Astyanax mexicanus: one gene and its partner. The protein of the gene in region 1 purifies or fractionates together with the protein of each later gene. This does not show direct contact. Links are inferred from orthologs where the notes say so. Each region holds a gene or a part of one and is shown on either strand. Other genes may lie near its edges.

Region 1 (6,693 bases):
TCTCGTTTCTCGTTTTGTTGTGGTCAGCAACTTTCTAAAGTGCTCTCGAAACCTGCAAATTTAATAAGATGCCATTATTGTCATTTTGTTAAGATCCTCTTACACAGTAGGATTAATCAGCAGACTTTGTCTGACAGAGGGATCTGTAACTTCTGTCTGTGGCAAGTCAGCAGATCTCTTCACTGTGCATCTATCTTTGCAACAACACTGGGCAGTATGTATTTTCTAGACTTTATCCGTAACAATCCATAACCATGTTGAGCATTATTTAACAGTGCTGATTCTCCTCGATTATTACGTCTCTCGGGCAGTTCAAAAGCGCAAATTCTGTTTCCACACTGTAGGGGGAGCCCATAATTCTCCATAAAATTGCATTAAAGGGCCAGTAACAGAATCATTCTGTTTGATTCTGAGGGAAATAGAGAGGTTTTGAGCCTAAAACCACACAGATATTCCAAGTGAATCTTAATAAAAAAAATGTAGAATATGGGCCGTTTAAATGAAAGTAAATTGAGTCAGTGGTGGCTCAAACATCGCATTTAATAAAATAGCTATTTGTCCACTGCCAAACACTGTAATTAAACTTTGTGTGCACGCTTCCATGGAGATCCACGTATAAACACAACAGCGAGTGGAAATGGAGGAGCTACTGAACGCTATGTCATGTGACCTAGAAATCCTAAAAAAAAATTACTGGTCCTCCTCTTTTTTCACTTGCAGTTCGGATGCAAGAGTTTAATCACTGAGGAGAAGTGTGAAATATTTTTCACAGACTTCCCTCTAAAATAAAAACTAATCCCGGTCATTATTTAATTTGATGTGGGAACTTGTTATGTTGTGTTAAGGCAGAGTAAGACTGGGCAACAGGGTTACATCATTTACAGTTGTGCAGAATTTAGCAGGTGAGGTAAAACATGCTTTCAGACAGTGACTGAGGGGATGGCAGAAATAGATGTTGACTAATCAGGTTTGACTAATCAAGCGGTTCTGACCTGGAGAATGACAAGCTGCCTCTATAGCCCTGTGTGTGTGTGTGTGTGTGTGTGTGTGTGTGTGTGTGTGTGTGTGTGTGTGTGTGTGTGTGTGTGTGTGTATGTGTGTGTGTGTGTGTATGTGTGTGTGTTTACCTTCCTGTCCACTGCCATTGTCTGCCTTAGTGGCACTGTCTGAGCTCCTCTTGATCACTCTGCCTCCTGTTGGCTTTAGGAAGCAATAGATTTAAACTGGCTTCATTTTATCTGCATGATAAAGAGACCTTTACCTCATTCTCTCTCTCTCTATCTCTCTCTCTGCCTCCCTCTCGCGCATCTCTCTCTTTCTCTGTCTTTCTTCTCTTCTGTGCTATCTCTCTCTCTGCCTTGTTTTCTCTCTCTTTCCCACACACATACAATTGCACATGCCTACTCTTTCTTTCACTCTCTCACTTTTCTTCTCTTTCTTTTTTCAAGTCTAACTCAGTTACACACTCCTTTCTTTCTTTCTTCTGTGCTATTTTCTCTCTCTCTCTCTGACTCTCTCTCTCTCTCTCTCTCTCTTGCAATAGATTTAGTCTGCGTTCTCCGCTCATTCTCTTCCTCTGATCTTTCTCTTTCTTGTACATCTTTCGTTCTTTCATTCTTTCTTTCTTTCTTTCTTTCTTTCATTCTTGTTCTATTCTCTCTCTCTCTCTCTCTCTTGCAATAGATGTAGTCTGCGTTCACCTCTCATTCTCTGTCTCTAATCTTTCTCTTTCTTGCGCATATCTATCTTTCTTTCTTTCTTTCTTACTTTTTTCTCTCTGTTCTGTGCTATTCTCTCTCTCTCTCAGGGAGTCTTTCTTGCACTCTGTTACAGACACATCCCTCTCTCTGATTCTCTCCTTTCTCTCTCGCTCTCTCTATCTCTCTCTGTGTCTTGCAATAGATTTAGTCTACATTCACCTCTCTTTCTCTCTCTGATCTTCCTCGCACATATATCTTTTTTTTTTTTGCACAAAATGCACAAAAAAGGAAGAATCTAATAATCTAATATGAAGTCCAGTTAAATCCATATAAATATAATATTTGTTTTTTTAAATGTCTATTGTATTGGAAGCCTGTGTAACATTTTTATTTTATTTTTGATATTGGCCTTTTTTATGTTAAATCATTCCTACACAGCATTTAACTCTAAATCACATAAAATTACTCTTATTACTCTTAAATTACTCTTATTACTTTGTCTTGTTGGCTGGTAGAGTGCTGCCACGCTCTAATGCCAGATTTGAAGTTGTTGTTTTTTTTCAGTGAAGTGGGCGGGGCTAAGCTACTTTTTCATTGGCTTGTAAATCAATTAGTATTATGTGCAACACAACATAAAAAAAGGAAATACATGATGTCCATTGTAATGCACAAAGGGTTTGGATCTGCATGATAGACAGAGCTTTACCTCTTATTCTCTCTTTCTCTCTCTCATTCTCTTGTGCATCTCTTGTGTTCTCTTCTGTTCTACCTTTCCCTCGTTTCTATCTCCTCTATCTGGACCTCTCTCTCTCTTTCTCTCCCTTTATCTCACATGCTTACTCTTTTTTGTACTGTCTCACTTTTCCTCTCTTTCTTTTTTCATGTCTAGATCTCTAGATCTCTAATACACCTCTCACTCTCTCTCTATTACTTCTATTTCTCTCTCACTCATGCACTCATTTTCTTTTCTTTTTCTTTTCTTGTTCTGTCTTTCTCTCTTTCTCTTTTTTCTCTCTCTCTTATTGTATCCTCTCTCTCTTTCAAATATCGAGCTCCCCCTGCTTTCCCTTACACACAAACACATGCAAACACAAACACACACCTCTTTCTCACTCTCTCTCTCTTTCTCTCTCTGTCTTCTCTTCCACTCTACCCCCCCCCTCTCTTTCTTCTCTTTCACCCTCCCTCCTCTCTCTCTCTCTCCCTCTCTCTCCCCAGGCTCTCAGCTCCTGCCTCTATTTTTATCCTCGCCCCGCCCCTCCCCTGTCGCTCGGCAGCTATTTCCAGCTCTGTGAAGCAGCCCAGTCTGTTTGTAAACTCCACGGCTCCACTCTGCTGCTCTCTCTTTCTCTCTCTCTCTTTCTCTCTCTCCCTCGCTCTCTATTGCTCTCTCGCTCGCTTGATCACTCCTGTGCCCCCCACATGCAGCAGAGGGAGGGTGTGGGCATCAGTTGCAACCAAACAAATCCAAACTAGCGGAGGACAGAGAGGCTGTTTGGGTTTTTTTCGTGCGACTCGACCGCGACAGAACGACCGCGACAGATCGACCGCGGTGGCTCAACGTGCTTTTATTTTTTGGGAACTACTGTAGCTTCTCAGTCTCTCTCTCATTCTCTCTATTCTTCACCTCCATTCTTCTCAATCTCTCATTTTTCTCTTTCTCTTTCTCCCAACCTTACTCACACGTCTCTGTCCCCTTCATCTCTCTCTCTACTTCTTGTCTGCACTCTTTCTCTCTCTGTTTCTCTTTCTATTGCCCTCTTAACCTCTTACTCTTTCTCTCTTTCTCTCTCTCTCTCTTTCCACACCCCGTCCGTTTCTCTCCCTCTCTCTGTTTCTACCTCTCTTGCTCTGTCTCTCTTTCTCTATTTATCCAGGTTATATATCTTGCTTTCTCTCACTCATTCACTCTCTCTGTTTTTTCTCTTTCTCTTTCAATCCTTCTTTCTCTCTCCCTCTCTCCATTTCTTGTCTGCTGCTAGTTCTATCTCACTCTCTCTCCTTTACTCTGTCTGTTTCTCTTTCCCTTTTCCCCTACCTCTTACTCTCTCTCTCTCTCTCTAATTCTCGCTCTGCACCCCCTCCGTCTCTCTCTCTCTCACCCTCTCTCTCTCTCTCTCTCTCTCTCTGTGATCTCATTTGCTGCTCTCACCGCAAGGAAAAGAAGGCATCCAGTCAAACTCCGGACTTACCGCAGACACAGCTCAGGAACCGTGCCGGATACGAGCGCGCAGTAGTGAACGGAATAATGACAGACGCTCTCGTTTGAGCCTCAGCATGAATTAACGTCTCTTTCCCGCTTCATCCCAGAGCTGAACTGGGAGCTAATGGGAATCTTCTAAGCGGAGACTGAAGGGAAGGGACTTGGCATTGACTCTGTGAGAGGGTAATCCGTGGAATCATGGGACTAACGCACAAAGTGGACCTTTCTCCACGCTGTCAGTGCGCTCCTGACCACAGCTAAGAAGCAGTGGCACAGACTGGGAATTCTGTTGGGAATACCGCTGTGATTTATTTCTTTTTTTCTCCCACATTCTGATGCTGATCGGAACGCCGGACATAGCAAGGTGGCGTTCGGCGGTTGAGCCGCGCGGCGTGTGAGCTGCGGGTGGCCGTGTTGGTGTACCGGAGTACCCGTGATTGTGTGTGAGGGTGTGTGTGTGTGTGTATATGTGTGTGTTTTGAATCTGGGACACACTGGCATGCTCTTGCGACCGACAGTTCCGGGGCTGTGCGCGATGTTGCAGACCATCTATGAGACAGAATCCTGCTTCTCCACAGACACACACAGCACAGCCAGCCGGGAGCAGCCCACCGACCTGCTGCCCCACAACCACTCCAACAACATGAGCAGCACTGGTGAGTGTGTGTGAGTGTGTGTGTGTGTGTCAATCCGCCTGTCTGACAGATTTGTAGAAGTGAGGACATTTTTGGCTTTCTTCACTAATACATCAAAACTAGTAAAACAGCACAACCGTAGCTTTAAAGTTTCTAAGGTTAAATTTTAGACTAGAGCTTAGGGTCGGGGGTAGACTTAGTACTAGGATGTTAGTTTTAGGATTAGGGATACATGCAAAATTATATTTTGAGTTAGGATTTGTTATAGGGCTGGGGTATATTTTAGAATAAGATTTTAATTGGTTATAGAATAAGTTCATGGTTAGTTTTTGGGGTTGGGGTTAGGTTTAGAGATAGATGTAGGCTTGGGGTTAGGTTTAGGGTCAGATGTTGGGTTAAATTTGGGTATAGGTTTGGGGTTAGGTATAGGTTTGGAGGTTTGGTTTAGGATTAAAAGACGGTTGGGTATAGTGTTTTTGGTTAAGAGATAGATGTAGGCTTAGGTATATGGTTTAGGGGTTTGTTTTAGGATCAGATGACTGTTGGATATAGCGTTGGGGTTTGGTTTAGAGACGGATGTAGGGTTGGGTAAAGTGTTGGGGTTAGGTTTAGAGATGGATGTAGAGCCCAATATAGATTTAAGGGGTTTGGTTTAAGATTAGATGACTGTTGGGTATAGCATTCGGGTTCAGTTTAGAGATAGAGGTAGGGTTGAGTATAGGTTTGGGGGTTTGGTTTAGAGATGGATGTAGGGTTGAGTATAGCGTTGGGGTTCAGTTTAGAGAATTAAGTTTATGGATAGACTTGAGGTTGGGGTTTAGTTTTAGGGATAGATGTAGGGTTGGGGTTTAGTGATGGATGTAAGGTTGGGTGTAAGTTAAGGTTTAATTATATATGTAGTTATAAATTTGGGTTTAAGGTTGAGATTAGATGTAAGGTTTATGGTTGGATAAAGGGTTTGGGTTTGGATTTAGGGAGTTAGAGTTAGATTTGGATTTAGGGTTAGATGTTGGGTTGGGTATAGAGTTAGGGTCAAATGATGGGGGTTTAGTTTTGCATTACTTGGCTGCAGTAAAACATAACATAACAATGTGTGTGTTCTTTGTAATCAGTGTAACATAACCAGCAACAGTGTGTGTGTGTGTGTATTTTAGACAAGGGAACAGAGAAGAAAAATAATGAGAGAGAGAGAGGGTCAAAAGAAGTTTAATAAGTGATGTTTTGAGAATTTATATCCGCTAGTGTTTGAAGTTGATGAATGTTGTGTGTTGATGGTGTGGTGGTTGTTGTTGTGCGGTGGCTGCGTGCTGGTTCTGTTGTGTCTAGTCGGACTTTGTTTGGACCAAACTAATATGGAGCATCTGTACAGACCCAGCTGACCTCCCCGACCTCTCCACTGGGCCTCAATACACATTAGTACTACAGTGCAGACAGCCTTTCAGCCTGTGCTCTTCAGTGGAGCTGCAGATCACTGGCAATTGACTGACTGGTTCTTTTAGATGGGGATGTAGACCATCAGAAATCAGCATCTGCTGTTTATGTAGCTGAATATTTGAACTCTTTCTGAGGAATATCCATAAATTGACCAGTTCTCCCTTTTGAGAACTGAGAATAAATTATTTTCTTTACTATCAAGTTTTGCTATTTTAGGTGCCTTTATGAATTAAGAAATATAAGTACATGTATATATTGGTATTATTTATTTATTTATTTTTCCTCTATGCTTTTCTCTCTCTTTCTCTCTTTCTCTCTCTCCTTTATTTTTTATTTTTTTGTTCTTTTTTGGTGGTGAAATTGGAAGAGTTGGGTGGTGGGATGTAGGAGGGGTTTAACAAGTAAAAAATAACAAAGTTTCAGAGTTTCAGTCCTCCGAAGAGGGGGGGTGGTGGCGGGCTTTAAAAAAAAAAAAATATATATATATATATAGTACAAGGAAAGCACATTTTAGTTTTTTTTTTGTGTGAAATCGATCTGATTTCTATTTCTAAAAAGATAGAAGGGCTAATTTTAATGATAAATGGATATGTAGTCATTAGTGTGGAGTCGGTCCCCTTTTTAATTCCAACACCAGGTGTGAATCTTTGTAATTATTGATTTTCTGCGCTGCGTTCTTCATCACTCGGACTCACACTTCGCTCTTTACAAGTTCCTGTGG
Region 2 (6,693 bases), on another chromosome or scaffold:
AAATTACTCTGTGTCCCATTACATCTGGCTTAAAAGTAACACTGCATTTCAGAAAAAGAAACACCTACAGTAAAACATGGTGGTGGTAGTATGATGGTCTGGGACTGTTTTGCTGCTTCAGGACCTGGAAGACTTGCTGTGATAAACAGAACCATGTATTCCACTGTCTACCAAAAAGTTCTGAGGGAGAATATCCGGCCATATGTTTGTGACCTCAAGCTGAAAGAGCTTGGGTTCTCCAGCAGGACAATGACCCAGAACACACCACATCTGAATGGCTAAAGTGGCCTAGTCGAAGTCCTTCCCTAAATCTGATTTATATCCTTTGGTATGACCTTAAAAAGGCGGTTTATGCTTAAAACTTCCCCAATGTGGCCCCAGAGATGAGTATGCCAAAATTCTTCTACAGTTATACTTTTTAGTGGCAAAAACTTTTACACAGGGATTTTTTTCCCCTTAATTATAAAAACTTAGTTTAAAAACTGCATTTTGTGTTTACTTGTGTTGTCGTTGATTGATATTTAAATTTGCATTACCACAATATGTGTCTTAAATTTGGTTCATAGTAGCATCTTTTTATAAAGCAGGATATTTTGTTTTTATGTTTTTGGCATTATATTTAACATACTGTATATTGTGGCATTATAATGAGCTGATGCCGTCTTATTGGCACAAGCAGCTGATCCTGACCCTGAAGGCCTTTGCTGGAAAGTTATTATCAGTCCAGTTTTAGTATTTTCTCACAAATGAACAAAGCAAAAATTTTGCATATTCACACAGATATTAGGCATGAAGTCAATAGACTTTGCAGAGATAGGATGTGCACCAAAACATTAATGTCTATCACATCCACAGGGTCTTAATTTGGCCTTGCCTACAACAAAATAAAACAGTGCTTACATTTCCAACGACACAAAACATGGAACACTGCCAGCAGGAGATAAACAACAATGCTGGGAAATCTCAAGCCAACTGTAGCCAACTGTCCTTTAACGTTGTTTTTATTTCCACTAAAGGTTGGTCGAAAACTTGAAAAAACTTTTAAGTTGCATTTCTTTCAATTAATTGTGAATTAATTGTGTGATATGTGTTATATTATGGTAACACATCATAATGTAGTTCTGATGTTAAAATTAAGCTGCATCCAATTACACACACTAATAACATTGGGTGTATAGTACTTACTAGTCATAATAGAGTGGGTTTTTTACCAATGAAATGCTGTGTGTCATGATCAGAACATCTATAGAACCTGTTGGATCAAGTCAATGGCAACCTAAATCATATGATAAAAGAATTGCCTCCGTTTTTTTTCTCGTGCACATGTTAACAACTTACATAAACTTGGAGGATGGAAATCCCTCTACTAAACTAGAACACAGAGATTAGATAGAACTTGAATGTGATTACTTGTATACACTTTATTCATCTACGTCACCATCGTCTACCAAAACGAGGATGTGGGGTATGGAAGTAGCATTGGAAAACTGGGTACTAGCAATGCTAACTCACTGCTGCGTTCCCAAATAACGTACACTTCTTCAAAAATAAATAAATCTTATAAAGTTCAAATCTTCCATAATTCCTCAAAACATCCTGTACTTTACCCTGAATGGATTCACAAAATCAGTAGAGATTGCCATTTTAATTTAAGTATGTACGATACTATGCTAGCTATCTAGCTAAGCTAGCCATTTTGGTATTACCCAGCTAGCCAATCTAGCCAGATGAATGTTAGCAGAGAGACAACAGGCTAGCTAAACCTGGGTCTCTAGCTTTGATTGATGAACCCTGAACTGGTCATTTGGCAATGGTTAATTTCAAGTGTGTGAGGTTAGTTGTCCACACAGGCGCTGCCATTTAAACTGAAGGATATTCTGCCTGTTCCCTCACTGCCTTGGAGTTTCCAGTTTAGAAGAGTACCCCGTCTCATTTTTCATTTCAACATGAGCGTAGAGTAAATAAGGTGCATGGTATGTCTTTGAAAGATGAAAAAAGATAATTGGTAGAGAACAACTCAATACTTTGAACAACTTTAACACAAGTTAAAAAGGGAGGCATAATTTTAATTGCTGGCTAATCTCGGCATCCATAACCACAAAAAAATGTCTATCAGCTCCAGACGGTCTTACCTAGTTACTTTTTGATGCAAAACCTGCAACACTGATAGGACAAATTTAAAGAGTAAAAAAGAGAATTCTGAAGCCAACAGAGCTGAGCACAGTGTCCTTCAGAGTACTTTCTTTTCTGTACAGTCTGTACAGAGTGTATTCAGGCTTTATGCTTGGGTGAGTGCACTTGAGAGACATAGGGAGACATACAGCTTTTACCTTTTTACCAGCAGAATGGAAAGAAATGATGGAGGCCTAGCTTCTTTTTAACTTTTCTACTGTTATTTGACTTTTCCGCCCACCTGACCTTCTGCATGCTTGAAATGTAAATAGATTTGTACTACTAGTTAACTAACTAGAAGAGTCTTGTGACCTGGGGTTTCATGGAATTTTATGGAAGAGGGAAACACTGGGTTACTGAGTCACAGGAGAGGACAGTGTAGTGTGTGTGTGTGTGTGTGTGTGTGTGTGTGTTTGCCAGTAACACTGCAGGCCAGCCTCTCCTGAAACAGCACTTCAGTGGTCGCACGTCAGAACGTGTCGTCAGCAGTCAGCAGTGACTTTACAGGCTGAAGTGTTGATGCCAGTTTTGCATTCAGATACAGTAAGACCACTTGTTAGAAGCTCTAAACTCGCCAGCTTCCTTCCAGCATCAACTTAAACTCTCTGTTTATATGTTTAAAATGTTTGTTGGGTCTTTCGGTAAGTAGAAAACACAGGACACAGCCTCAGTTCAGTGAAGTTAGTTACCTAGCTAACAAGCTAACGCTAGTTAACTAGCTAACTAGTTAGCCTGGCGTTACCTTGGTTACCACATATTGGTCAAAATAAGTAGTTAGCTAGTTAGCTAACTAGTAGCCTAGCCTTCACTGTAAGTTATACAGTGATACAGTTCACGTATAACTTAGATAACCTAGTTAGCTAACTAACCTAGCCAGTTTTATCGTTTAAAATGTTTCAAACTCACAAGTAAACCCATATACCGGCTTTTTTTACTTTCTGACCTAAAGAACAGCGCTGTGTCTAACTAAACCCTCTTCAGCACCTCAGCGGAGACCCCGCTTTCCCATGGCGGTTCTAACGTTGCTAACGTTAGTTAACGACGAGTAAAACGCAATAGAAAAGTTCGTTTAACATTTTCTATCCGCACTTATTTACTTATCATTCGCTCCACACTTTATCTAAGCTAGCTCACTAGCTAAGCTACTTCCCAAGCGCACCGAGGAACCCAGCGCACATGCGGTGTGAGGAGAGTAACGTTACCCGGTGAGTTTTTACCTTCTGGTCCACGATGGAGCACGCCATTTCTCGGACCTGCGCTAGACTGAAGTCCCCCGAGTCCAGCAGCACCGGCTCCCGGCTCAGCCCGATCTGGATGTGGAAGGAAACGCCCTGGGAGCCCGGGACGGGGCTGGGCGCCCGGATCACCGGAGGGACACTCATGAGAATCCCCGAGCGGTCACGGCTGGACAGCGGCTGGTCAGTCTGCTCTCAGTCTCGGTCAAACGCGCTCCGCTTCTCGGAGGAAAATAATAAATACAAACTTCGACTCGCCCCCCCTCCAAAAAAACAGAAACACACAGCACAGTGTCTGTCCTAGAGGTAAAACGACGCGGGGAAATATATTATAGCTAATAAACCTGACCGCATTTAGAAGCTGTGAAACGCAAAGCGCTTTTTTGGTCATTGAGAAGCGATGCTGATGGAGCCATAGACGTCAGATATGTTTAATGTTGGGCTCTGATAGACACCGCCTCCTGCCTGTTCCGGTTATCAGAGCGAGGTGCCTAACGCTGAGATTTATCTGCCTGGGCTTTAGAACTGTTACTCAGATGTCTGTCCATTAAAGTATTAACAGTATTAAAGTATTTAGAGCTTCTTTTCATTTCTATCTATTTTACCGGAATGATTTGCTTGCTTTAAACGCTACTGATTTAAAGCCTGTTTATTATTTTAACAGTTATACATGCAGACTCAAAAGAACGCACACAGTAAAGTTATTCAGACTGTGAAATAAGTAGTAAGTAAGTAAGTAAAATAAAAAGTCAGCTTAAGTTTGATTAATTAATAAACTGAACTGTTAGTAGACTTATAAAGTGGGAAAATATTTTTAGTAGGAATTCAATTGTTTGACTGATGCCCTAACAGGTGTCATTGTAAAGAGATAATAAGTTATTCACTTTGGAGGTGTTAATGTTATGGCTGTTCAGTGTTTAATATACCACATACACAGTCCCATATTAACTGTGGGTACATTAACTACCAAACACAGTCCCATATTATATAACACACGTTCACTGCAATGACGGGACAGTGTTTTTAGTAAAATGGGACTGTGCTTTTTAATGTAGTTAATATTGGACTATGTATTTGAAATACATCATGACAGTGACAGTGTGTTTGATAATATGCGATGGTCTTTGGCAACATAGCCACAGTGTATTTTAAATATATAACAAACACACTGTCCCAAATTACCAAAATGCACTGCCATTTAACCATACAAAACGTCCCATATTAACAAACACAGTACCATCATGATGGGACAGTGTATTTGGTAACATAGGACTGTATTTGGTAGCCACAGTTTTTATTTATTTTGTATTTTATATATAACAAACACACTGTCCCATATTATCAAACACACTGCTCCATATTACTGCACAATACACTGTCCCATATTACCAGAAATAAACTGTCCTATGCTACCAAACACTGTCCCATATTACTACACAATACAGTGTCTATATTACCAAAATGCACCGTCCTATACTACCAAACTCATTGTCCCATATTATCAAACACAGTCCCATATTACCAAAACATACAGTCCCATATTACCAAAACACACAGTCCCATATTACCAAACACACTTTCCTGTATTACTAAACAATACATTGTCTCATAGTAGCAAATATACTTATATATTATCATATAACACACAGTCCCACTCTAACATTTTAATTCTAGTTATGCATTGCATGACAGCATCCACTTGGCAAGTTGTATATTTGACCTGATTTCTGGACAAGGTTGCTGTAAATCCTGTATATGTTTATTAATGTAGACATGTATGGCTTTCAGAGAAGCCTATAATAAGTTGTTACAGATTGTGAGGTAGTAATAAAAGACACTGTATACTTATTTTTTTACAGTTTCACTTCTAGTTTGATTATTCTGTAAACTGGAAAAAGGAAATACTGAAAGTAGGCCTTATAAGGAATAACAATTAAACCAGACTAAACAAAGTGCATCAGTGGGCCTTGGGCACCCATATCCTGTCACTGGTTCACAGGTTGCCCTTCCTTTTTTTGGTAGGTAGTGACATCTGCATAGCAGGAACATCCCACATGACCTGCAAGTTCTCTATCAAAGTGTTTCTATCCATCACAGTTTAAGCCTGATCAGACTTGTTTAGATTCTAAAATGTGCCATTTTCTTTCTTCTACCACATCAACAACTGACTGTTCTATTGCTGCCTAATTTTAGCACCTTAGCATCCACCTAGCAACAACTTAACAAACACTTCAGATATCAGAGCATCCATTAAGAAACACCACAGAAACCAATTTGGATACCTTAACAACCATCTCTCATGATACTGTAGTAACCAGTTAGTAACAGCATAGCAACCACTAAGCAATACAACCAGTTACCACCCCTGTAACTACGCAACCATCCTGCACAAGTGCAACGTATCAGTAAAAGTTTTACCTCATAGAATTTGAGTTTTTTTTTATCTCATCTTTATTTCATAATGTATCATATTCTGTTATCATTCTGTTATCTCGCTACCTGTCTGTCTGTCTGTTCCTTTGTCTGTCTGTCTTTGTAGAGATACCAATTTATACTACTTTTGGAAATTCCCAAATACCATAATTCTTCTCAGCAGCATATGGTAAGGCTTAGGGTTTATAAGGTCATTTTTTTTAGCCATTTTATCACTTTTTCTGTATGATTTGTACTAAGACATTTGCAGGTATTGAGGACTATGTTTAATTGGATGTGTATTCATTTACATTTTTATTACTTTACCTATTTATGTGTATTTAATGATTTTTTAAGAAATGTAATATAAATATATCATATATCAGACGAACACAGTAATATTTGAGACGTTAAAAATAACTTTATAGCTCTTTGACCCTTGATCTACATGCACAGGTGAATTCAATCATGTGAAAGGGTTAAGGTGGCCAAATGCAATTTGTCTCCTCTTTGCAAAATCCTCTGTTTTCTCCTCTGTTCAAAATCTACCAAGGCATTCATGCAGAGTAACAAGTACAACGTTCTGGAATGGCCATCTGAAACCTGACTGAACTGGAGATGTTTTGTAAAGATGAATGGTCTAAAATGCTTCCAACCGGAAGACAGACTCTCATTGGAAGCTATAGGAAGTGTTTAAAGGCTGTTATTTTTGCAAAAGGAGGATCTACTAAATATTGATGTAATTTATGCACCTGCCTAATTTGGTTTTAAGAATTATTGCACACTGTCTTTAAAGCATATGAACTTCATTTCACTTCTCATATATCACAGTCTTTGTCTGCTATATGATATATTTAACTGAAATTGTTGATAT

The links.
Region 2: the proteins of hdac5 (region 1) and prkd1 purify together in Homo sapiens (affinity purification with western blotting; 4 studies listed by BioGRID, with this or other methods). This does not show direct contact. The link is inferred for Astyanax mexicanus from reciprocal best matches to the Homo sapiens genes HDAC5 and PRKD1.

The regions. Positions count from the first base shown.
Region 1 is NC_064410.1:7,240,117-7,246,809, reverse strand, and holds the start of hdac5 (histone deacetylase 5), read left to right. Parts: upstream 1-2,625; 5' UTR 2,626-4,402; coding exon 4,403-4,559; intron 4,560-6,693. UniProt on the Homo sapiens protein: Responsible for the deacetylation of lysine residues on the N-terminal part of the core histones (H2A, H2B, H3 and H4).
Region 2 is NC_064421.1:45,647,109-45,653,801, reverse strand, and holds the start of prkd1 (serine/threonine-protein kinase D1), read right to left. Parts: upstream 3,913-6,693; 5' UTR 3,555-3,912; coding exon 3,390-3,554; intron 1-3,389.